Linked DNA regions of Lonchura striata. The protein of the gene in region 2 binds, or shares a complex with, the protein of the main gene of each other region. Links are inferred from orthologs where the notes say so. Each region holds a gene or a part of one and is shown on either strand. Other genes may lie near its edges.

Region 1 (7,717 bases), on a different chromosome or scaffold from region 2:
GGGCAGCCTCTGGGGAGGGGGAGGCAGCAGAGGGGAGCCCCGGAGGGTGCCAGGGCTGCAGCCCAGCCTGCTTCTCTCTGCCCCGGGCACCGAGAGAGCTGCAAGGAGCTGCTGGAGAAGCAGGTGAGATGGAAATTCGGGGGAAATGGAAGGGTTGGTGCCCTTGAAGTTTTCTTCTTTTGTTGTTTTTATCTCTGTTCTTTGTGATGGTAACAAACTGAAAACGGTGTTGAAAGTGAGTTTGTGCCTGTTCTGCCTTTGTCTGGTACTGGCTGAGCTACCTGAAGAGAAGGAGTTTTATAAACTTCTGGGCTTGTGTTTGACTGTGAGCATCCCCCTCCCTTTCCTAAGAATCCTGGAAAGAGTCTGGAGCAACGTGCGTTCCTCCATCACTTCCAGAAGCTGTGCAGAATTTGCAGCAACAGATTAACACTGCCAGAGCCACAAATCAAAGGATTTCCAGTTCCACCCCGCTCCCACCTATTATGCAGGGGGAGAAAAAAAATCTCCATCTCCTCAGACAAGAGGGAAAAAAAAAAGAGATGAAATTAGGGTTTAAAATCATTTAGGTTTGCATTTCATTCCGTTCGGCGCTGTCAGTGATACACAGCGCCTGCAGAAGAATTAGAAAGATTATTGTGGAAGGGAAGGCAGAGCCACAGCGTGCTTGACAATATGCTCTGTATTTTACCTTCATTAGGACAGGGAGCTTGAAATACTCATTTCTTTATGATGAAGGAACTAAAGATTTCCAATGAGCGCAGAGCAGGGAGCGGGCAGGGGAGATTTATTGCTAAAGCATGTTTTTAATCACAGCAAGCACCTGAGCGAAATTGTGGAGATGCTTCTGCCCCAAGACACCCCTTCAGTGAGCTGGGGGAGGGAATTCCCCCCTGCAGGGGAATTCAGCCGGCCCTGAGGAAATTCAGACAGAGATTTTGGGGAGCCCCAGTCAGAGCCCTGGAAAAGCTCCCTTTGCACCCCTCCAGAGGGGACAGCGGTGTCACCACGGGCCCTGCTGCCTTTGGGGTCTTTGTGCACGTGTGGACACTCCTTCATTAGGGGCCAATAATTAACTCCTCACCCCCTTTGACCCCAGCCCCGGGCTGGAGGGGCTGCCCAGCCCTGAGCGCCCCTGGGAGGCTCCAGCAAAGCCAGTCCTGGCCTCAGGCACTGTCCAGCAGCTGGAGGGGCCCTGCTGGGGCAGGGCAGCACAGCTGGATCGGGGTCAGCACAGCTGGATTGGGTCACAGCTGGGATGGGAATGTTCCAAAAGCCATGGATGGATGCCCAGTCCCATGGCCTGCTCTGGGGAAGGCTCAGCTCCCCGCTCTCAGCCCCTGTGCCCGCTCTCTGGGGCAGCCCTGGGCTCACGGGACACTCTGGGGACACTCTGGGGACACTCTGGGGACACTTTGGAACACAGCTGTGCTTCAGAGGGGCACCAGAGGCCACGGGGGCTGCCAGCCCCTCCAGGTGACCTTTCCTCGGCCGCTTCGTTGGCTTGTGACCGAGGTGGGAGCCTCTCCCTGCTCCTGGCAGGGGAAACGCAAGGATGCAGCAAATATTTATTTAAAAAGAGGTGGGAGTGGTGTGCAGAGCTTGGGTCACGCTGAGGAGCCAAGGGAAGGAGAGGAGAAGGTGACACCGTCACTCCTGGTACGGGCCAGCCTGGCCAATGTTTTCATGTTGTATTTGATTTTTGAACATCACTAAATATTGCTGAGTTCTTTCCAGGGTTATTTTTGTGCTCTCCTCTGTATGATCCCCTTTCTTTCAGCTCTCAGCTGTGGGAAGATGATTAAAAATGGCACATTGTCTGCACCTGGAATTCCTGACACAACCCCGGCACAGGCAATTGTGTTTCTGACAGTAACAAGACACTCTGGAACTCAGGATCCGGAGACTTTCTGTTCTCCTGCCCTTGCACTTAATGAAACCAGAGTTTGTTTGAGAAAGAAAAACCCAGAGTTAATTTCAGCTCAGCTCAAACCAGGGGATCCGGAGGCAGGAGCTGGAGCTCGGAGTTATGGGAAAATCCGAGGAGAGGAAGGGATAAGGAGCGCTAGGAAAAGAAAAATCCTTTTCATTTCCCAAGAAGACATGATGAACAGCAGAGAGAGAAAAAAAATCACTTGACAAGGTTCTTCTAAAGAGGAAGAATAGTGCAAAGTGCTGGTTAAATTCCCATTGATCCTTCACTCAGCTTCCCATATACACATGGGTTTGACTACTTGATACTTCCTTTCACTGTCATAAGTAATAACCGAGGGGAAACAATCATTTCTAAATAACTGCCTATGATTCTTCTATTGTAGTGATTAGCGCTGAATAATTATTAGCTGCGCTGGGTTTCTGCGGGGCTGGGCGGCAGCGGGAGCTGCCGGCGCCTATAGACGGTGCCTATAGATGGTGCTCTCGGCCTCGCACAGCCGCTCCACGCCGAAAAATGCGCCTGGATGGGCTCCCCGTGTCCCAAACCCCCCGGCAATGGGGGAAAAGGCTCTTTTCCCTGCGCTGTTTCCCTGCCGTGCTTGTCTGGGAAGCCACGACTCTGTTCTATTGCCCTGGGGATGGCAAAGGTGGAGCAAAGGCTGATTTGGGGTCTGGGCAGGGAGGGAAGAGCCCGAGGTGGTGTCCAAAGCTGGGTACCGGCGCTTCCAGGAGTGTGGAGCCAGGCTTGGAAGTCCTGATAGACACACCCGTGACTGGTCAGAGACACTCCTGACCTGGTCAGAGATACCTGTGACTGGTCAGAGACACTCCTGACCTGGTCAGAGACACCCATGACTGGTCAGAGACACCCGTGACTGGTCAGACACACCCGTGACTGGTCAGAGATACCCATGACTGGTCAGAGACACCCGTGACTGGTCAGACACACTCCTGACTTGGTCAGACACACCCGTGACCCAGGGGCTCCCAGCAGAGCCTGCTCTCCCCCTGCTGCTTTGCTCCCCAGCCCGGCAATGCTGGGATGATCAGCTGGGAGCAGCCTGTGATTCCAGGAGCACAGTGACCATCAGTAAATGATAAACAGGAGGCAGGCTGCAGACACGGGCCTGCAGAGAGGAGGGGAAGGGCTGCTGAGATGCGCTGCCCTGCCCTGTGGGGCTCTCACGAGGAGCTGCTTGGTGGGATGTGATTCACCCAAAGCTGGCTTTGCTGGGGGCTTGGTTCCGTTCGTGGGAGCTTGCAGCACAGGAGCTGCTCTGGGAACGGGCTGGCAGAGAGAAAAGCTTGCTCAGGAACCGATGCTGCCATCCTCTGAGTGCCCGCTGCTGCCTCTCCCCAGCTCAGCAGCTGCAGCCTGGAGACCTCTCCCGGCTCCAAGGGGATCCTGAATCCTCTGCAGGGGCAAAGAGCAAAGCCAACCCCAGCCGGGACCTTTGCCACCCAAAACTGCTCTTGCAGGGCCTTGCTGAGGTGCACCAGGCAGGGAACTGCTGTGGCCATGGTGACAGCAGTGAGGGTGACACAGGCTGGGCTGGAGGGGAGCTCTGAGAGGAAATTGGGGTGGTTCCGTCACTCAGGTTTGTTGTGGACGAGGCCCAGGATGATGGCTCTGATTTTCTCTTGCAACTGTCCCAATGTGTAACAGAAAAATGGTTACAAAACTCCTGATGACAAGATCCGAACAGCAATCCATCATGGTATTGATCCCCTCCACCAGCTGCTCTGCTCGGAATCATTCCCAGAGCCTGGCTGGCTCAGGGTCAGGGTCAGCCGGGCCGTGGTGCTCCTGCCTTTCAGGAGCAGTGTCCTGCTGTGGCACTGCCACTGCCTTCTCTTCCCTGGCTCCAGGTGCTCCAGACCCCTGTGGGCTGCAGCAGGCGGCCAGAGGGGTGTGAGGTGCTGGAAGATGCTCCTCCCTTTGGGTACCCTGCAGCTTCCAGGGGTTTCTCCGTGTGCAGAGGCAGCAGCCAAGGCCAGGTCGTGGCTCCGTGGCTGAAGCACTCGAGCCCAAGGAGGGGTTCTGTGGCTCCCAGTGGGTGGTCACAGGGCTCCCTGTCCCAGCTGGCCACGGCCACTGTGGTTGGCTTCTGGCAGATTTTGGCAGGAGCTGTTGGGGTCAGTGGCTTCAGGGGCATTGCAGCACATGCCCACCTCTAGCTGTGCTGGAGGTGACCCGCCCTTGGCAGAAAACCAGGCTGCCAGCCCTTGCAGAGACGGGGAAACTGAGGAATGGAGCGCTCAGGCGTCACTCCTGCCACCAGAACTGGAGCCGAGGGGTGCTCTGAGCGGGGGGCAGAGCCGGGGGCAGAACCTGCCGGCTCCGTTCCTGTCCCTGCAGCCCCCCCGAGGCGGGGCAGCTGCGGGGCAGCTGCGGGGCAGCTGCGGGGCTCTCCGGGCGCAGCTGTGCCGGGCCGGCCGCGCAGCCCCGCGCAGCCCCGGGCGCTCCGGGCTTTGTTCCAGCGCCGAGCCGCTCCCCGGGCGCGGCTCCGCGGGACACGGCGGCGCAGGTGAGGTGGGCAGGGGGTGCGAGCGGCGCTGCCGGCGCCCCGGCTGCGGAAGGGTTAACGCGGGAGCGCGCCCGGGAGCGCGCCCGGGCGGGCGGCGGGAGGTGCCGGGGCGGGCGCAGCGCAGCCGAGCCGCGCTCGCCGCACTCGGGCAGCGGCTGCGGAGGCGATGAGAGGCCGGCGGGGCTGAGCCGAGCCGAGCCGCGCCGCGCCGCGCCGGGGGAGCCGGAGGGGCTGCGGGCAGCGGCGGCCGCCCGGCCCCGGATTTCCATGGTGCCGGGGGCCGCCGGCATCCCCCCGCCCTGAGCCGGGAGGCGGGCGGCACCGGAGCGCCGAGGGCTGGTGAGTGGCGGCGGATGGCGAGGGGCTGCTGCCCGCCGGGGTGCGGGGGTCCCCGGGGTGGGGGTTCCGCCGGAGGATGCGGGGAGGAGGCGCGGGATCGCTGTCGCCGTGCCGCCCGCAGCTGCCCGAGCCGGCTGGCACCGGGGCTGCGGGTGGCACCGGGGGCTGCGGGTGGCACCGGGGGCTGCGGGTGGCACCGGGGCTGCAGAGCGCGGGGTGGTGCCCGGCGGCTCCGGCCCCGGCCGTGCCCGCGGAGCAGCGCGGAGATGCCGGCGGTGCCTGGGGAAGGGATGGAGGAACCGCTCCGGTTCCAGGGAATGCAGCGCCCGCCGCCTCCCCGGGCTGCTCCGCGCTCCCGTTACACATCGCTGTCTCCTCGTTAATTCTGCGGCCGCTCGGTACCGCTCAGTCGCGGTCTGGAGCCAACGCAGCGGGATAAATTCACCCCCATAAAAAGTTCCTGTTAGCAAGGAGCCACTTTTTTGGAAAACACCCCCGAATCTTAGGGGAAAAGACATAAAATCCCCGCTAAAACTTTCCTAAATCCGCGCGAGACCCTTTTTGGAAGGTGGTGAGGGGAGAGATACCGAGTGCACTTGTGCTCCCTCGGGAAATCCCAGCTCCCGGGTGATGGCCCCGCTCTCCGCGGCCCGGGGCTCCCGGGGGTGTCGGGGCTGCCCCGGTGAGCCGTCCTCGCCGGTGTGACCTCCGTTTAACCCGGCACGGTCACGCATTCCCGGCTTTGTCTCCATTCACGCTACGGCCAATACTCGCACGTTCCTGGAGGTGAAGTGAGTGATGTTCAATTAATCTGTGTTCTAAGGGGTATCAGAAAGTCAATAGGTTAATTTTAAGCGAGGTGAATAGTAAGTGGCAGAGGGAAAAGATCCCCTGTGCGTCCGTGAGCAGCAGCTGAGGCTTGGAGGTGAGGGAACGCGAAGTTCTCAGAGTGCCATGATGTGAAACCACTGCTCGGAGGCTGCTCCTGCTCTTTGCTGGGCACTTGATGCTTCACTGGTGGCTTCGAGGTGCTTGGCAGACCTGGGCTGAGCTGGGGACGTGGTCCTGTCCCCCTGCTCTGGATGGCTTCATTGATAACGGTGACTAAAGTGAAATGAGATGACCTACTTACAGCTGAGGGACAGATGCCTCGCAAGAATCTGTGCCAGCCTCGGAACAGATGTTTGGCTTTTTACCTTTAACACAGAGGTGTTAGATCCTTTAGAACTCAATAGGGCTCTTTTTTTTGGTCTTTATTGCCGTCCTTGTGCCATTTGTTGTCACTTTGAGGACCCTCGGAGCTCAAAGGTGGGATTCTGGGGTGGTGCCGGGGACCAGATAAAGCAGCTCTGACTCGAGAATCTCGGTGCGAGCAGCGGGGGACGTGACCCAACGGTGTCACTTGTGCAAAGCCTTATCAGGCAAGGCAGCCATCCCTGCCGACTCTCCCACCGCATCCCCAGCGCTTGTGGCAAGAAGATAAAGCAACCCAATTTACTCCTCTCTGTCTTTATGGTGCCGTTTGATGCAATTAATTGTGGAGGTTCCCCCTCCCGGCTCAGAAGGAGTCGGTGCGGTGGATCAGGTAACACAGGAGCTGCACAGAACCCACCGCGGATGGGAGCAGCTCTGCCTCGTTCCTCGGTTAACCCTGAGCTCCCTGCGCTGAGAACTCCGGCGGGCTGCGGGAGGGAAACTGAGGCACGTTCTGCCCGCGGGACCGGAGAGGGGAGGGCCGGCTGCTCCTGCCCCGCGCTCTTTAACTCTCCTCAGCAAATTGCGTTAGGACGTGACAAATTGGCCCGCGAAGCAGCTAAATGGAGATGACATTTGGAGCAGTTTGCCGGCAGCCCCTCTGCAGTGGCAGGGAAATGTGCGATTTGCAGGCTCTGCCCCACATCTCCCATTTAGGCACCGCCACGAGGCTTTCCAGAACTTACTCAGGGAACTCCTGGTGCAGCCAAATGTGGGAGTCTCGAGCATGCCTGGGAAAGGTTGCCCAAAAGCTAGGGCAGATGTAGGTGCAGACTGTCTCATGCCGTGGGCAGCTGAGATGAGGAGCTGAACCGGGAGAGAAAGCAAAGCCGGAATTTAGAAACTGCGTGAGTGGTGAGCAGCTGAAGGTGGGAAGCTGGGCTGGCTGCTGGGTGCCAGCGTGACGCTCTGCTGGGGTGCAGGGGCACCTCTGCCCACTGATGGGTGATCCTGGGGTGCAGGGGCACCTCTGCTCATGATCCTGGGGTGCAGGGGCACCTCTGCCCACTGATAGGTGATCCTGGGGGTGCGGGAGCACCTCTGCCCACTGGTGGGTGATCCTGGGGGTGCAGGGACAACTCTGCTCGTGATCCTGGGGTGCAGGAACACCTCTGCTCCCCGAAGGATGATCCTGAGGTGCAGGGACACCTCTGCTCACTGATGGGTGATCCTGGGGTGCAGGGACACCTCTGCTCACTGATAGGTGATCCTGGGGGTGCAGGGACACCTCTGCTCACTGATGGGTGATCCTGGGGTGCAGGGACACCTCTGCTCACTGATGGGTGATCCTGGGGTGCAGGGGCACCTCTGCCCACTGATGGATGATCCTGAGGTGCAGGGGCACCTCTGCTCATGATCCTGGGGTGCAGGGGCACCTCTGCTCATGATCCTGGGGTGCAGGGACACCTCTGCTCACTGATGGATGATCCTGAGGTGCAAGGGCACCTCTGCCCACTGATGGGTGATCCTGGGGTGCAGGGGCACCTCTGCTCACTGATGGGTGATCCTGGGGTGCAGGGACACCTCTGCTCACTGATGGGTGATCCTGGGGGTGCAGGGGCACCTCTGCTCGAGATCCTGAGGTGCAGGGGCACCTCTGCTCCCCGAGGGATGATCCTGAGGTGCAGGGACACCTCTGCTCACTGATGGGTGATCCTGGG
Region 2 (7,284 bases):
TTGTGTTATCACTTTTTTACTACTATGGATTTCTTTCTGTGGATCTTCAGGTGGGAAAAACTTTTTCCAAGTGTTGGTTGTTTAATTTTGATCAATAAAACATGACAGTAAACTATGGAAAGGAAGAATGTCCCCACTAAAGCAAGACTATATATCACTACATTTCAATAATGGTATATATACAGGCTGCTGTGCTCTATCTAATACATTCCCTGTGAAAGCAAAATGGCAATCCTTGCTCTCAGCATGAATTTATAAATATACAGGATTTTATTGTAGGAAAAAAAACAGGTCAAATGGAAATGAATGAGGAAGCACACATCAAAAATGCATAAAGCAACACTCTTTATAGAAATTATTTGCCATAAATTAGGAGGGAAGGGATTGATAGGTACTCGGATGTATGGTCAAAACCCAGATACTGCCAAGCATGTCACTGGGAAAGGCTATCTTATTATATTTCTGCTGTGCCTTTGCAAACAGGCTGTTTTCCCCTGACCAGAACAAAAGGCATTGGTGCTTAAAGCTCAAAAGCTGTCACTGGTGATCTTGCTAATCCGCTGTCTGGGGCTCTCAGGGAATCTTGCCTTTTCCTCCCTGTGTAAGCATACTCAGAAAGTGATCTTGTCTCATTAAGCCCACTCCAGCCCTGCAAACATGGCAGGGTCTGGCATTTGTTAAATACTTGAAATAAAGCAGTGCTGCTTCTAGTCACTTGACAGAGTCACTTCAGAGGACGCTGAGGTGGACTCACTACCACCAGCGCTCCTTAATCTGCGACTTCTGGGAAAGTGACAGTGTAATAAGATAATGCGGTCTGCTAGACTCCTTGGCTCTGTGCAATCTCTCTCACACTTGATTAAGAAGAGCAGTTTCTAATGACTTTGGACCATTAGTTCCAAATAAGGTTAATGAATTAATTTAGTGGACACTAATACTGCATGTAGGTGAAGGTGGCATTAGTAGGTCCGGTAGGTTGCAGAGGAGGTTAATGGCCTTGGTGACTCCAGCAGGACCACCACGTTAACCACTCTCCTCCTCTTCACAGGGAGAAATGATCAACAAGAGCATGGGGGTGGCCCCTACTGTCCCTCAGAGGTACAGGGTGGCAGTATGGGTCTGTGTGGGAGGCAGCTGTCCACACCCCGAGCTGGGCTGGGGGATGAGCAAAGTGCACCTCTCGGAGCATCCCCACATCAGGCTTGGTGCACCCCTCTAGCACCTTTGCTCCTGTGCCACAGCACTGGAGGAGGAAGCTCGTCCTGATTAAACTAAGCAGCGTCCTCGAAACATATTGGGAAACAGATTAACTTCTATCATAAAACATGTGATTTTAATATTCTTGCTTGACACTCCACTTGCAGTCCCTTATTAAAACAATATACCAGTGTAAGTGGAGGCTGCTCTCTTCTTTTAATTACTCTGATTGAAAACCCAGTCAGACAAAAGTAAATATTTGATAATTAGTTAATAATAATTGCTCAGGATTTGTCAGGAAAGGAAGATTCACGTTAACTGTTTCATGTGCAAGAGCTAAATGTCAGGCAGTCCCACAATTAGACCATCTTTAAAAATGCATCATGCAGTGGAACATTTACAGTGCCCTGGCATTGTTCGGGGAAGGAGGAGCACGCCGCTTTTAATTAGTTGTGTTTTCAAGGGTTGCCTGACAGTAAACTAGCCACACCACTCATTTGTTATGTGATTTCTCCTCTTGGAAGGCGGTCTCGAGCCTTCACAGAGAAGCTCAGCTCCTCTCTTGGCACAGTGTAAGTTGCATGTAAACTGCAGACTTGGGAAAGGGGTACTCTAGAGAGTTCTCTGTGTGAAGACTATTCGCAGGTACACACACAGCTAGTAGGAGGCATGATCTAAAATTCTACGCTTTGGAAAACAGAAAGGGCGGGAGGGGAAGAGAGCCTTCCCTTTAAGGTGTTCATTATCTTTCAGATATCGAAGGAGAGGCGTTTAATGGCCTATGGGACGGGACATTATTAAGATAATTGGCTGTCCTACCTAGTGAGAATGAGCAGCCTGCTTTATACAATAACCCAAGAAAGCAGAAAATAAAGTCGGAAAGCAATGACGGGGAGGGCGACCCTCAGACGAGGACTGCGCTGCATCCCTCCTCCGGCAGAAAGTTCCCCCAGCCGGGTTTGTGTCGGTGCCGGTCCCACGGCCCGCCGGGCACCGCCGCCCGCCCCCCGCGCCGGCAGCCCCGGAGCCCGGCCCCGCACCGCCCGAGCTGAGACCCAGCGTCCCCCGTGACACTCACCGCTCCGCAGAGCCCTGGCGAGGGTGAAGGTGAGGGCTGCACAGTGTAGGAGAAGTCCCCAATCCATTTTCCCTTCCGACAGCAGGGAAAGGAGGAAAAAAAAAATAAAAATGCCTTCCACGCACAACTCTTCTTTAAATCCTCCAGCCGGAGTGAGGAGCAGAAAGCACGGTCCGCAGGGGCAGTCTCGGGGACAGAAGGAGGCTGGCTTCTCTCTGTGCCTCAAGCCGCCCGCATCCTGTCATTTAGCTCCGGCTCCCTCTCTCTTTCCCCACACTTGTTCCTTCTCCAGGCGCGGCTGCCTTTGCCATTCCCAGCGAGACTAGAAAGCCAAATGAAAACGAGGGGAAAAAATAACGAAAACAAAACCCAACAAACACACAAACAAGACAGATTAAAAAATACTGGCGGCTGCCGACACCTCGGGAGCGCTCTGCTGGGCGAGGGGCTCTGCGGAGGGGAGATAAGGAAGGGAAAGGGGCCGTGGGCGGAGACCAGCCGGGCGCTGGAGTTTGGCAAACTGCTTCCCCCCTGCCTGCCCCGCTCTCCAGCGGCCGCGGCTCCCGCGGGGCCGCAGCCGCGGAGCTCCGGGGCGCGGTGCCCGGCGGTGCCCGGCGGTGCCCGGCCGTGCCCGGCCGTGCCCGCACTCACCTGCCCCGGCGGGAGGCGAGCGAGCGAGCGCGCTGCCGCAGCAGGGACTGCCGGCCGGCCGGGGAAGTGGGAAGCGCCCGGGCGGCTCCTGCTCGCAGCCTGAGGAAGAGGAGCGCAACTCAGCGGCAATAAGAGAGGCCGAGGAACCGCCGTCTCCCAAGCCCCAGTCCCCTCCCCCTCCCCGCCCTCCTCCTTCTCCTCCTCCTCCTCCTCTTTCTCAGCCCCCCAAGACATCGGCAGCGCGGAAGAAAGAACAAACAAACACGGCAAGCCCCGGCTCTGGCGCTCAGCCGAGGCGGGGACTGGCGAGGGGGAACGCGAGGAGCAGAGGGGTGGCGAGAGGCGGCGGTCCCCGCCAGGGCAGGTAGAGCCGATGCGGGCGGCGGCACCACCTGCGCCCGCCGCCCCGCGGCTCCTGCGGCCCCGCGCAGCCCTGCCCGGCCCTGCCCTGCCCGGCCCTGCCCTGCCGTGCCCTGCCGTGCCCTGCCGTGCCGTGCCTGCCGCCCGGCCCCACACACAGACACGCACACACGCACCCACCCCTGCCCACCTCCCGGCTCGCTCGCCTCGGGTACCCCGTGGGAACCCTGCCCCGTCCCTTCCCGGGCCATCCCCTCTGCCACCCTTCCCTCCTCCGCCGCCTTCTCCCCCTTCCAACACTCTTTTTTTTTGTTTCGTGTGAGAATACGTGTCCCTCGAAGTCCCCAGTGGGACTTCGTCCCACTGCTGATGCTTCCCCCACCGTCCCTTCTTGTCCTAGAGGAAGCAGGCTGTGCTGATGTGGGGTGAGCTGCCAGGACCCACCAGGTGTCAGGCTCATCTGGCCACTCCATATCTGCAAGGGGAGACGTCCCCGTATTCCCCTCCCTTCCGACCCTTTTCCCACCTCCCTTCTCACCCACTCTTGCTCTCTCAGCTCCTGTTGCAGCTTTGCCCGTCTCAGTCTGTCTGAAGCCTCTTGAGGGGCTGAGGAGCTGCTGGGGTCCCCAGGGCCGGCTCTGCTCCCGAAGGAGGCTGTGCAGCATGAAATCCCCACTGGGGAGTGCGTGTCTCCTCCTGAGCATTCTCCCCTCCACCACCACTGGCACCAGAGGAACGGAACAAAGCGGGGACATAGCGGGCTCTGAATCCTACTGCTTTGGCTGCACGGTCTGGTGCTCACCACCTATGGACCCTGTCTCTTCCTTGCCCTGTTGCCCTGCCTTACCGGCTGTCCCTGCACCTGGGGAGTGATCACCTTGCTGAACCCAACTGCTTTTTTACTTTGCACACCCTCTATGGTGAGGCCAATCGAGTCGCTGGGGTAGGGGTTACAGGAAGAGCTCCAAGGCTGAAAGCTGAAACACAGTATTAAATGGCCCCCAAAGATGGGTCTGTGCTAGGAAAATTACCTGCAGCCAGTGGTGGATGTCAGCCACTGTCATGTCCCAGGGCAGTTTGAAAACAATTTGTTACTGTGGCACAGTCAAGGCAAACTCTGTTAATGCTTCATCAGGAAAAAGGCCTGATAGAAGACCTACTCCATAAGGAGTTTTTCTAAAGGATGCAGTGGGAAAAGTGCTGGATTTTGCTGAGGAGAGGGTCGTCCTCCAAGTGTAGCCATGGCAGTAAACTGCTGTCCATTCTGATGATATAGCCCTATTTGAAATAGTTTTCAAACATAGTTGTCTACAGCCACACAGATTTACTACAAATGTGTTACATCTGTGTACGGAAACACAAATCCAGCCTCCTCCTTTGTCTCTAGCTCTGAGTCTGAGATTTCTACTCTCACTCTCTTGCTGCCCTTTTGAAGCCCTGAGTTTAAGGTCAGCTGAAGTCTGGAGATTAAGTCTGTAGGAAATCTGTCTGCTGGTTTCATACTGCACACTCTCTCACCACTACTTTCTGAGTGTTTTCCAGACATTCCCCTTCTCTTCCGTGATTACAATTCCCTAATATTGTGCACTAAAATGCAGTTTGATCCTGTTATACTCTCTGTACACTTAATTCTTTCCTTTGTCGGCTTCTGCTTCTGCCCCTGCCCATGACCCTGCTTCTGCCCATGCCTGTGTCTGCAGGCAGGCTAGAAACAGGCAGGCTGGAACTAGTCAGATTGAGTTATTGGGTTCAGTCTCATTTCCCCATCTTTAGGCAGTCTCTGGATCATCATTTGCAATACTTATGCATTTTCCTGATTGATTGGGATGTATATTTTATGGGTAGCACATTAAGCCCCCTTTATTTTTTTTTCTTTTAGAGACATTCCCAGAACACAGGGGAAGGGGAGAGTTAACAGTGCTTTCTGATTATTAAAACTCATTCTGCTGGACAGTCCTTGAGATAAATGGGTTCTGACCTGATCATAGTTTGACTGTTTGAGCAATATAGCCTCTAAAATAAAGTAAATCTATTTTTGAAAACAGAAATGACCTGCTTACTAAGGGTTTGCACAAATATATATATATATACATGTTTGTTTTAAAACATGTTTCAGAAACCAATATTAATTCTCTAAGTGACAGATACCCAGAAAGCATGTACATCAAAAAATGCACTTACTGTATGACAGTGATGGCCCTCTTGCTTTGGGATTAGCATTGTCTGTCAGGTGATTTCTAGGAATCTGCAGAAAGAAAATAAGCATTGTCAGCTGTATGCTGTATGCTGTTGGTTGGTTTGGTCCTCCAAACCAACCAACCAACCAACCAACCAACCAACCAACCAACCATCCAACCAAACAGCCGCTGTGTTTCATCCATTTTTTTTTTCTATTGGATTAATAAATTACTTTTTGCGGATATAGACATAGATTTTTTTAGTAGCTGGTGAATTTTAAAGAAATTCCTTTCTCTGGAAGAAAACAAATGTAGACAGAACATGTACGCTAAGGAAGATGGCACAATGTGGTAATTTGTAAGATAATGATGAAAGTTGCTTTTATCACCTGGGCCTAACCTGTAATCACTAATCCATATACCAAGGTTTATTTCAATATTCTTATGTTTCAAATATCAGTGCTTCCTTTTCTTGCAGAGAGAGAGATGTGCAACAGGCTGCAAAGACATCTGAACAGGAATGGCCTCTGTTGGGGCTAATATGGCCTATAAAAGAGGATTTCTGCCCTTCCTCAGCACTGTGTGGGCATTATGGATTCCACAATGGGACTTTATTTATTTATCTATTAATTTATTTTCCTGTTGGTATCTCAAGGCCTAGAAAATATACCAGAGTCTGGTACGTTAATGTCCTTCCTTACCATAACATGAATGACACTACTCTAATTTTTCCACCCATCTTTTTCTCTCTCATTCATGGATATAAGCACAATTTTCTTCCATGTATGAATTGCCCTGGAATGAAGAGTGAAGACATTCTATCCTTGGTTTATGTGTATTTACCTGAAAATGTTTAATCTTTAATAATCTTGAATATAAACTGGCATCAAATGAAACATTCAGAAGTCTCTTTTTATAATCCACTTCTCACTATTTAGTCATGGAATTTTAGGTCCTGATCCTGCAACTGCTTACACATTTGTTCAGCTCTCCATTTTCACATCAGTAATGGGATTTTATGGCAAGGATGAGTTAGTGCTACAAAGACTGAATCTGAATCCAATGTATGTAAAAGTTAATGGAGTGGCTAGCTTTGGGGTTTGGGTTCAGGCCCATTTTTGCTTCATTATTTGACTTGGTGTTTATAATGCTTTTTTGAAGATTGTCTGCACTTCTGTTATAAACCTGTTTCTCAAGAAGTTTATAATTCAGTCATAAAAAAATATTTGCCTTGGGCTAAATCATGTAATATAAAACTTAAAATTCCAAAGGAAAAAAACATTTTCCCATTTTAACAATAGCAGAAGGGAGCAACTTTGATGTTTATTCCTTTATGTACTCACATAGCACATTTAATTAAAAACTAAGTTTGGCAAATGATTAATCAATGGCTGAAGACACATTTATTTGGTATTATTTTGAAAAAGAAACACAACAAATTAAACTCATCCATAATATTAAAAGCCTGAAAATGGAGACTTCCTGTGAGTATTTAGTGCAGAATAAAAATATGTTTGCTTTATGACTGTGTCTACTAATATCTTCATATACAGTGTGGTGCTCATTTATATCCTTTTCTCTAATGTTTTCTTTTTTATTTTTTTTTCACTTATCTTCCCCAATAATCTCTCCAAAACTAGGCTTCTGTGTCATCACCTCTTCTGTTGTTTTGGCCATATGAATCACTACTTGGCTTCCTGTTGCTTACTGTACTGAACCAAAGCTATTTACCCTTATCTTTAAGATCAGACATACATTTTACCTTGTCTATATCTTTCCTCTCTCAGCCCTTTTATCTCCTGCATCTTTTATCCTCCTACT
Region 3 (7,898 bases), on a different chromosome or scaffold from region 2:
GGAACTGCTCAGGGCTCCCTTCCTCACAAGAAACCGATTCCCACACGGCGTTAACCCTCAGCACACCCCGAGCATCGTAAGATCTTGGCCAGGCTCTCCACACGAATCCAGCCCCGGCACGGCGAGAGGGAGCTGGGTTTGACTGCAACCCCTCGGCATCGGGAGGCAGAGACAAAGCGGTTCAGTAAAAGGAAAAAGATGCAGCACAAAAGGGGCGCCGGCATCTCTCCTCCCCCTCCTCAAGCTTGCGAAAGTGGAGGAATTGATATGAAAGCGGCTCCGGCAAGCCAGAGCCCCCCGGGATGGGGCTGCCACAGACGCTCCTGCCCTGCCGGCAGCGCAGCTCCGCCGCTCCCCTGCCTCTGCTCAGCCCTTCGCTTTGCCTCACCCAGCGGCTGCCGAGAGCCAGGCTCTCTGCGCTGCAGGGAGGGATGCTGCCAGGTGAATCCGCTGAGGAAAAGCTCAAATATTCCCTCTCCCCGCGGAGAAGTTCAGCATCTCCCTTCGGGCTGGCAGCGTCCCTCCCCAGCCGGGCTGCGCGCACGGCGCGTTTGACACCAGCCCTCGGTGCCTGCCAGGCAGTTACGATCATCAAGCAAATCTTGCCTACAGCACCGTGATTGATTATCAGCCCGGCTTCTAAAACACCCGTCTTGGACATAAACAACGCTTAGATCATGCGGTTGTCATTTATTTCGCGTGGTATCCATACCGCCGAGCGCCACACATTTAGGATGGGACAGAGAGAGAAGAAGCCTTGGAGTGGTCCTTTCGGGAAGGAGACACCCCCATGGAGGGTGGGTCTGGGCAGAGGAGGGGAGAAAAGCCCCAGGTTTTCGTGCCGGAGCTGGGGTTGCGTGTTTAAACCTGGCTGCACACGCGAAGCGAACACACACACATCTGTTGCACCGCTTGAAGCCCGGCTTAGCGAAGGATCCCACACACACAAACAAACAAACAAACAAACACACAAGCACGCACTTCCCCAGGCAAAAAATTAAAATAAAATAAAATAAAATAAAATACCACAAGCAAAACGCTGCTCGCATCCCCTGCACCTCCAGCCAGAGGCTTAGGAAGCACCTAATCCCACGCTGGGAGGCACACGCCGTAATAAAAATCACAGAGACGCCAAAGCCCGTGCCCCCCGTGCCCCCCGTGCCCCCCGTGCCCCGCTGGTCCTGCCCGCTCGCGGATTTCTACAAGCAGCACCCGGGTGAAACAGAGGGCAGGTAGAGAAAACAAGTTAGCACGCTTTCCGCCCTCCAAAATATCTGTGCACGCTCAACACGAGTCCCTAGAAGGCTGCGAGCAGCTCGTATCGGCTGTAAAAACCCCCTGGCACCGTCATTGTTCCCAGGGAACGAGAGCATCCCCCGGCAGCATCGGGGGTCCCGGTGCGAACCTCCCCTCTGCACCACTCACCCCCAGGACTCGGGGAGCTCCAGATTCCCCTCGCTTTTCCCAAAATTTCTCTTCCCAGGCATCGCCTCCCGGCAGCGGAGGGAAGCCGTGGACAATCAGGTGCGCTTCCAGCGAGCTCTCCCGCACGGCTGCGTTGGGAAGCAGCGAGGGGTGTGGAAGTTTTTCGGGAGAGCCACACGCCTTCCAGCGGGTCCTTCCCACCAGGGCGAACCCTGCGGGTCCTACCCCCGCATCCAGCACGGCGAACGCCGCATCCCTTCCCGGCACGGGGAGCAGATGGAGCCCCGGGAGGAGGATTTCCTCCGGGCTGGGGATGGAGCAGCCGCTACAAACCCAAACAGCCCTGCTGGGGCTGAGCAAGCGGGTTTGTTTGTCTGCGAGGAACTCAGCTGCTGCCGGAGTATCAGATTTCCACCAAAACAACGTGGATTTCCACCAAAACAACGCGCGGCTCGGTGTTTAGATCACTTCTCCCGGTCTACATAATTTAAGGGCATATGTGTGATAAACGCAGAGCATCGATACGCAGGTTTCGCTTGCAGCACGCACATGCACCGAGGGAAAGGAGGGAGGTTCAGCAGCGCTGACTCCGCAGCCGGGATTTGGGCAGGAAAACTCTCCAGCACCTTGCAGAAAGGGAAGAGACGGGGGTCTGCCCTTCCCTGTTAGGTGTTCGCCACCGGGGCTGGCCCCTGTCCCCATCCATCGGGGATGGGGAGGTGTTATCCTCCCCGGGAATAGGGCTCTGCCTCCAGCCCCGTCCAGCTCCATCCTCACCGGGAGCAGGAAAAGTTTGCAAATGCCTCCAGCCCCTCGCCCGAGGAGAGCTGTGGAGCATCGAAGGGGGAAAATACCCCCCGAGAGGAGGAAAACCCGCAGCCGGGGGATGCCGAGGGTGATGAGGGACGGGCTGAGCCGCTACCTCCGGGGAGAAAAGTTGAGCCTTGTGCATGGGGAAAAAGCCATCGGGGACTCGGGAAAGGGGGACACCGGCCACCGCGTCCCCTCCGCGCTGGGGATGTGGAGAAGGGGGGCTCCCCGCCGCGGCCCCCCGCCCAGCATCCTCCCAAACCGGGCCGGGAGGAGCGGAGGGGCCGTGCCCGAACCCACCGGCTCAGCCCGCTGTCCGCGGGGGTCCCTGTCCTCCATCCCAGACCCCCTTCCCGAGACCCGGGGATGGGGAGCAGCGCCTCCCAGAGCCCCCCCTCCACTGCCGCCAGGTGTGGAGGGCAGGTACCGCTGCAGCCCCGCCAGCCCTCCCGGGGCATCCTCCGGGGCATCCTCCGGGGCATCCTCCCGCAGCCCCCGCTACCCGGGCGGGGCGGGAGGCTCCTTACCTGGGAATGCTCCTCGCTTGCTTTGGGTGGGTTTTGGTGTATATATATATATCTATATATATATATTAAATTTCTCTCCTCTCCTTTCCCCCCACTTCAGTCTTCAGAGCAGGCGCCGCATTGACACTGCAGATGGTCTCTGTGTGCGTGTGTGTGTGTGCGCGTGTGTGCCTCTCTCCAATCCCAAATACTCCACGGAGGCGGAACACGGAGCCCCTCTCTCTGCACTGGGCAAACCGTGTCTGGCTCGCCCAGAGCCGGGGTGGGGGGAGAATGGGGGGGAGGGGGGGTAAACGCAGCTCCAGTTTTCACTCCCCCCCCCCAAATCACCCCTTCCCTCCCCTCCCTCCCTCCCTCCCCCAGCCCTTCCCCCCCACCCCCCCGCCTCTAGACCAGCCAGGAGTGGGGGGAGCCGGGCAGCGGGGCTGCAGGCAGGGGGCTGCAGGCAGGGGGATGCAGGCAGGGGGATGCAGGCAGGGGGATGCAGGCAGGGGATGCGCTACGGGGCCATGCCCGGCTCCGCGGCCTCCCGCCCGCCGGGGAGGGCTCGCACTGCGGCTGTCTCGCCAGCCAGCCCTTCCTCCCCAGCCCTCCTCTCCAATGGTGGCTGCGGAGCCGGCTTGGACACCCAGGCTCTTTTGCAAACACAGGCACACGCAAAGGCACACACCCCTTTCCGAAAAAAAAAAAAAAAAAAAAAAAATAAAATAACCGGAGAGGTGTAGAAGTGCTGTGGCAACAGCAGCCCAATGCACGGGGGAGGGATAATAAAAAATAATTAATAAAAAATCGAAGCGATAATAAAAATCCCTTTCTATCCTTTTTCTCTTTCTTTCCTATATATATATATATTTTTTTAGCTTTGCAGAGAGAGTGGCCGGTTGCTCCTCCTTTCTCCAGCCCACCCACCTCCGGCAGAGGGGAGAAGGCGGAGGAGCGCAGGTTGTCTCTGGAGGGGGTCCCCCAAGGCGCTTTTCGTCGTCCTAAAGTTTGCAGGGGATGGGGATAGGGATGGGGACGGGGAGGGGAGCGGGGCCGCCTCCCGGGGCTGCCGCCGCCGCTCTCCCAGGGCTGCAACTCCGCGGCTGCCTGGATTCCTCCTCCTCCGGTGCCTTCCCTCGCTCCTACTCACTACTGACACCTAGGATCTCCAGCCTGATTGGGCTAATTGGGAAACGTCTCTGCCATCCCCCCCTCCACCCCCCCCCCCCAAAAAAAAAAAAAAAAATATAATAAAACCCAAAACGCACTTACGGAACCAACCGCATCTCGCTGCCTGCCCCCATCTGCTCCTCCTCAGAAAAGGCTTTGGTTGGCATTTCCCTTCTCTTTTCCCTGCCTTCTCTTCCCTCTCCGGGCTGTGCCCTGCTGCTCCCCTCCGGCTTGGAGCCAGCGCGGAGGGGAGCGGATCAGAGCGGGCGTGGGGAGGCTCAGGGGCAGATCAATCTCTCAGCTCGGGTGAGCAATAATCCCGGAGAGCGGCTGCAAGCTGCTCCCCTGGCCCGGGATCCCTGTAATTCCGGGCAGCCGCAGGAATAAATGTATTTTTTAGAAGCTGCATGAGTTTGGTGTCCCCCAGGCTGCCGGGGGGCAGACCCCACCCCAAAAGTTCATTCCGTGAGTGAGACCCGCGCTCCTCCCTGGAGGTGATGCCAGGGGCAGCCCCGGGGCAGGCAGCAGGTGCTGGGAAGGGCAGGGATGCTCTCAGGGTGTTGGTAGCAACAGGGCTGCTCCCCAGGGAGCCCCGATTTCCTCAGGATGGGCGCCTCACAAAGGTCTGAAGAAGAGGAGAAGCAGCTGGGGGAGATCCCCTCTGCTTTCGGGGGGATTGGCCATGCTCAGGCCGGGGAGAAAACTCTGCAAGTGACCCTGCAGATTCCCCTTTCCCAGCAGAAGGCAAAGGCATCCGGCAGGGATGCAGGGGGTGCCTGGGAAAGGGGGTCCCAGCACCCACGGAAATCCATAGCTGAGATCAGAGGCAGGAATTGCCTCTCCAGGGGTTGTGCAGCACCAAACACAGCAGGACTCCCCCTCCTCCTCCTCCCCACAGCCTCCACCATTGACAGAAAATCAGGCTTAATCCGAGCTTAGTATTTTTAATTATCTTAAATTTATGCCACAAAGCACGGGGGCCGGGGGCTGTCTATTTGCATCCTCCAAGCTATTTATTTAGAAACAATATCATGTTTTCCTTAAAACAAGTTTTATCTCCCCGGCGCGTGCCTGTGAGCGCGCCTGTGTGTGTGTTTTGCCTGAGCTCCGGTTTACATTTCCTGATGGATGGATGGAGATTCAGAGCCCTTTTTTTTATTTTTTTTTTATTTTTTTTTTTAAGGTGGTGCATAAAATGTATTTATTATTCTTTATCTCCTACCTCTCGCAAGGAGTCATTTGTTTTCATTCAGAGAAATGAATACGATGTGAAGCCTGAAGAGTAATAACACAGCGAAATGACAACGGAGGAGCGAGACAGGAATCTGAGAGATACAATGGCAGGTTAGTAACCTCTAAAGATCACTGCTGCTCTGAGTGCTACAGTATTATTGAGTGTCCAGCCTGCCTCGCAGCTCCATTTAATAAAAACATATGAAAACCTCAAGGAAATTCGGTCTCGCGTTTAAAACCTGTCCCGCTAAACACGGATAATCTGGATATGCCCAGATTGCTTCCCGCTAGCTGGTGGGGAGGAAGAAATTAATACCAGTTCTTTCTGCTTCTTAAGACAATGGCACGAGTCAATAGATGCCCGAGCTGTTTGGGTTCATGAAGGAGGGAGTGACAAATGAGACTTTATTTATAGGCCTTTTCATGAACCGGGCAGCGGGGGCGGAAAAGGGTTAGGGCTGGAAAACCCAAATGACCTCCCCTGACCTGTGAATTTCTACAGCAAAAGGGCCCAAGGACAAGGAGGGCTCAGGCTCACCCTGGTGTCACCCAGTGGATATTTTCCCTCTCACAGAGAGGTGCTGGGCACCCCCTGCTCTGCTCCAGGGGGAAAACCAAGCGGGATCAGAGCTGCCTCAGCATCATCCGGGATGAGGCAAAATCCTCATCTCCATCCAAACAATCTCACACAGCTGATTTCCCTCCCACTGCCCCTAAAGATCCCCCATTGCCCCTGAAGTCCTGGGTGCCAGCAGCCTCCCTGAATCCCTCTGTGCTTCCTCCCTCACTGATGAATCCTTTCTTTTCTTACCTTATTACCTGAGCCACACACAGTGGCACACAGGAGTCACTTCCATCAACACCCAAAGAACAGAAAACACCTATTTTTGCCAGCACCATCCACCTGTACACTTGAAGACTCCAACAACAGAGGACGAGCCCATTAGGAGAAAGAAGAAAACAAGAAAATAAATTTTTTAAAATTAAAAAATAAAAATAAAAAAGGGAGAGAGAGAGAGAGAAAGGAAATCTAAGTTAGATTGTGCGGGGTTTTTTCTATTATTCTTTCCCCCCGCCATTTTACAAGTTTGTTAAAGCAGCGCGGTGTTTAAGTGGCCGCAAGCTGCTGCAGCTCCGGGCTGAACGAGCGCTCAAACCCAACATCGCAGCGCCACCTGCAGCGACCGCGCTTGGTGGCAGCTGCAAAATCCCCCAAACCGTAAAAAACCAGCCCGGGGAGAGGGCTGCTAACTCAAAATCTTATTCCTCCACGTCTCTTTTTTACCCCCTTCTTCCCTCTGCTCTTTAAAGTCCTTCTAACTTGCCCCTGTCTGTTGATAGACGAAAGAAAATTGGTCTCTCCTGGGCAGCTGTCACCATCCCTGCTGCTGACAAAGGATGTCTTTATCGTGCTCAGGAGGGTGGGAAATTCTGTGCGAGCTGGTTTAAAGCTGGGCCGGGGCTCTGCGTGGTCACTGTGACACCCCGGGGAGGGACAGGGTGAGCTCTGCCCCTAGGAGCAGTTCTTGGCTTCAGGGGGTGTCACTCTCTCGGATTTTGGCAGTGCTGCCAGCTTCAGGAAGGGTTGTGCTGATGGAAAATGAGATAACAGTGCTACCCCAAAAATAATGTATGAGAAGAAGTTTGCAGGGAAGAGCAGGATTGTGCCACTTGGTCACCTTGCCTTGCCCAAACATTTTTTGCAGCATCGTTGCAACTAATTTTGGGTGATGGATGGAAAAAAAAAAAGCTCTTGGGAGGGTCCATCTCAGCCACCCTCTGTGCTTTGTCCAGCATTTCCTTGGAGCCTTGGGGGTTTTGCACACTGGATTCTCGGAGAAGCCCAGGGTGTCCTGGCATGGAGCAGAGGGGAGCCACGAGCCCTTTCTCCTGTCACTGCCTCTGGCAACTCCCTGCCAGTCTCTCCTTAACTCCCCTGCCAGCCTTTGCAGGGATATTTTCTGGGGCAGATTTTTCAGGAGGATATTTATAAATAAAAATTGTAGCAGTTATCCAGCGTCTCCCTCTTCCCAGCCCTTCAACAGGCACAATGAAATGTCAAACAGAGGCAAGGTTTGCCTTCTTTTTTTTTTTTTTTTTTTTTTTTTTACCACTTCTTTGGATGTTATTGAGGGAAGCAAAATCTCCTTCTATGTTGTCCCAGGGTCAAATGCAGCAATCCACAGGAGACAGACCTGCAGGGTGTGGCTGTCCCCTCCCTCTCCAGAGCTCCTTCCCATCAGTGTGTGCTCCGGTCCCTGTTAGCACCTGCATTCAGACACCAGCTCACCAACCCCTCAAGTTACAGGAAGATTTCCAGAGCTTCCAGCCCAAGTTTCCCCTCTTGGCTGCAATTTCATTCCTGTTTTCTCCCTTCCCATTCCCTCTTCTCCACCCCCCTGCTCCAACTCCAACCTCCCCAGCGAAGTGCCACTTCCACAGAGGATCTGCCCTTCCCAGCAGAGGCAGGGCTGTGAGAGATGCTCATTGCCCATCCCACCCACCCACCCAGAGGGGATTTATGATGTACTCAGCTGGACAGCATCATCTGCACATCTTCCATCCCCAACCCTCCCCTTGCCCTCCTTGCCCTCCCCCGTTCAAACTCCCCCAGGGACAATTTTTCTCCTTCCCCCTTCAAATATTTGCAGACCATTATCGCCTCTGGTCACACCCAGGCTGTCATTTGTCCAAACAAAACAGCGGGAGGAGGGACAGGGGAGAGGGGCAGGTGGACAGAGGCAGGGTGAG

What was found.
Region 1: the proteins of NRP1 (region 2) and PLXNA2 are in contact, whole or in part, in a crystal structure (PDB 4GZA), measured with the Mus musculus proteins. The link is inferred for Lonchura striata from reciprocal best matches to the Homo sapiens genes NRP1 and PLXNA2. Residues at the interface, in NP_032763.2 of Mus musculus: Glu78, Arg80, Asp81, Lys83, Tyr84, Asp126, Tyr127, Glu128, Thr129; in NP_032908.2 of Mus musculus: Asp273, Leu274, Phe275, Glu306, Lys341, Gly342, Gln343, Lys344, Gln345, His348, Pro350.
Region 3: the proteins of NRP1 (region 2) and PLXNA4 are in contact, whole or in part, in a cryo-EM structure (PDB 7M0R), measured with the Mus musculus proteins. The link is inferred for Lonchura striata from reciprocal best matches to the Homo sapiens genes NRP1 and PLXNA4. Residues at the interface, in NP_032763.2 of Mus musculus: Arg80, Tyr84, Asp126, Tyr127, Glu128; in NP_786926.2 of Mus musculus: Glu272, Lys340, Lys343, Lys345, Leu349.

What each region holds. Positions count from the first base shown.
Region 1 is NC_134632.1:5,093,450-5,101,166, reverse strand, and holds the start of PLXNA2 (plexin-A2), read left to right. Parts: upstream 1-4,680; 5' UTR 4,681-4,802; intron 4,803-7,717. UniProt on the Homo sapiens protein: Coreceptor for SEMA3A and SEMA6A. Necessary for signaling by SEMA6A and class 3 semaphorins and subsequent remodeling of the cytoskeleton. Plays a role in axon guidance, invasive growth and cell migration.
Region 2 is NC_134603.1:142,990,992-142,998,275, forward strand, and holds the start of NRP1 (neuropilin-1), read right to left. Parts: upstream 3,050-7,284; 5' UTR 2,927-3,049; intron 2,598-2,926; 5' UTR 2,343-2,597; coding exon 2,276-2,342; intron 1-2,275. UniProt on the Homo sapiens protein: Cell-surface receptor involved in the development of the cardiovascular system, in angiogenesis, in the formation of certain neuronal circuits and in organogenesis outside the nervous system. Mediates the chemorepulsant activity of semaphorins.
Region 3 is NC_134607.1:70,815,113-70,823,010, forward strand, and holds the start of PLXNA4 (plexin-A4), read right to left. Parts: upstream 3,041-7,898; 5' UTR 2,763-3,040; intron 1-2,762. UniProt on the Homo sapiens protein: Coreceptor for SEMA3A. Necessary for signaling by class 3 semaphorins and subsequent remodeling of the cytoskeleton. Plays a role in axon guidance in the developing nervous system. Class 3 semaphorins bind to a complex composed of a neuropilin and a plexin.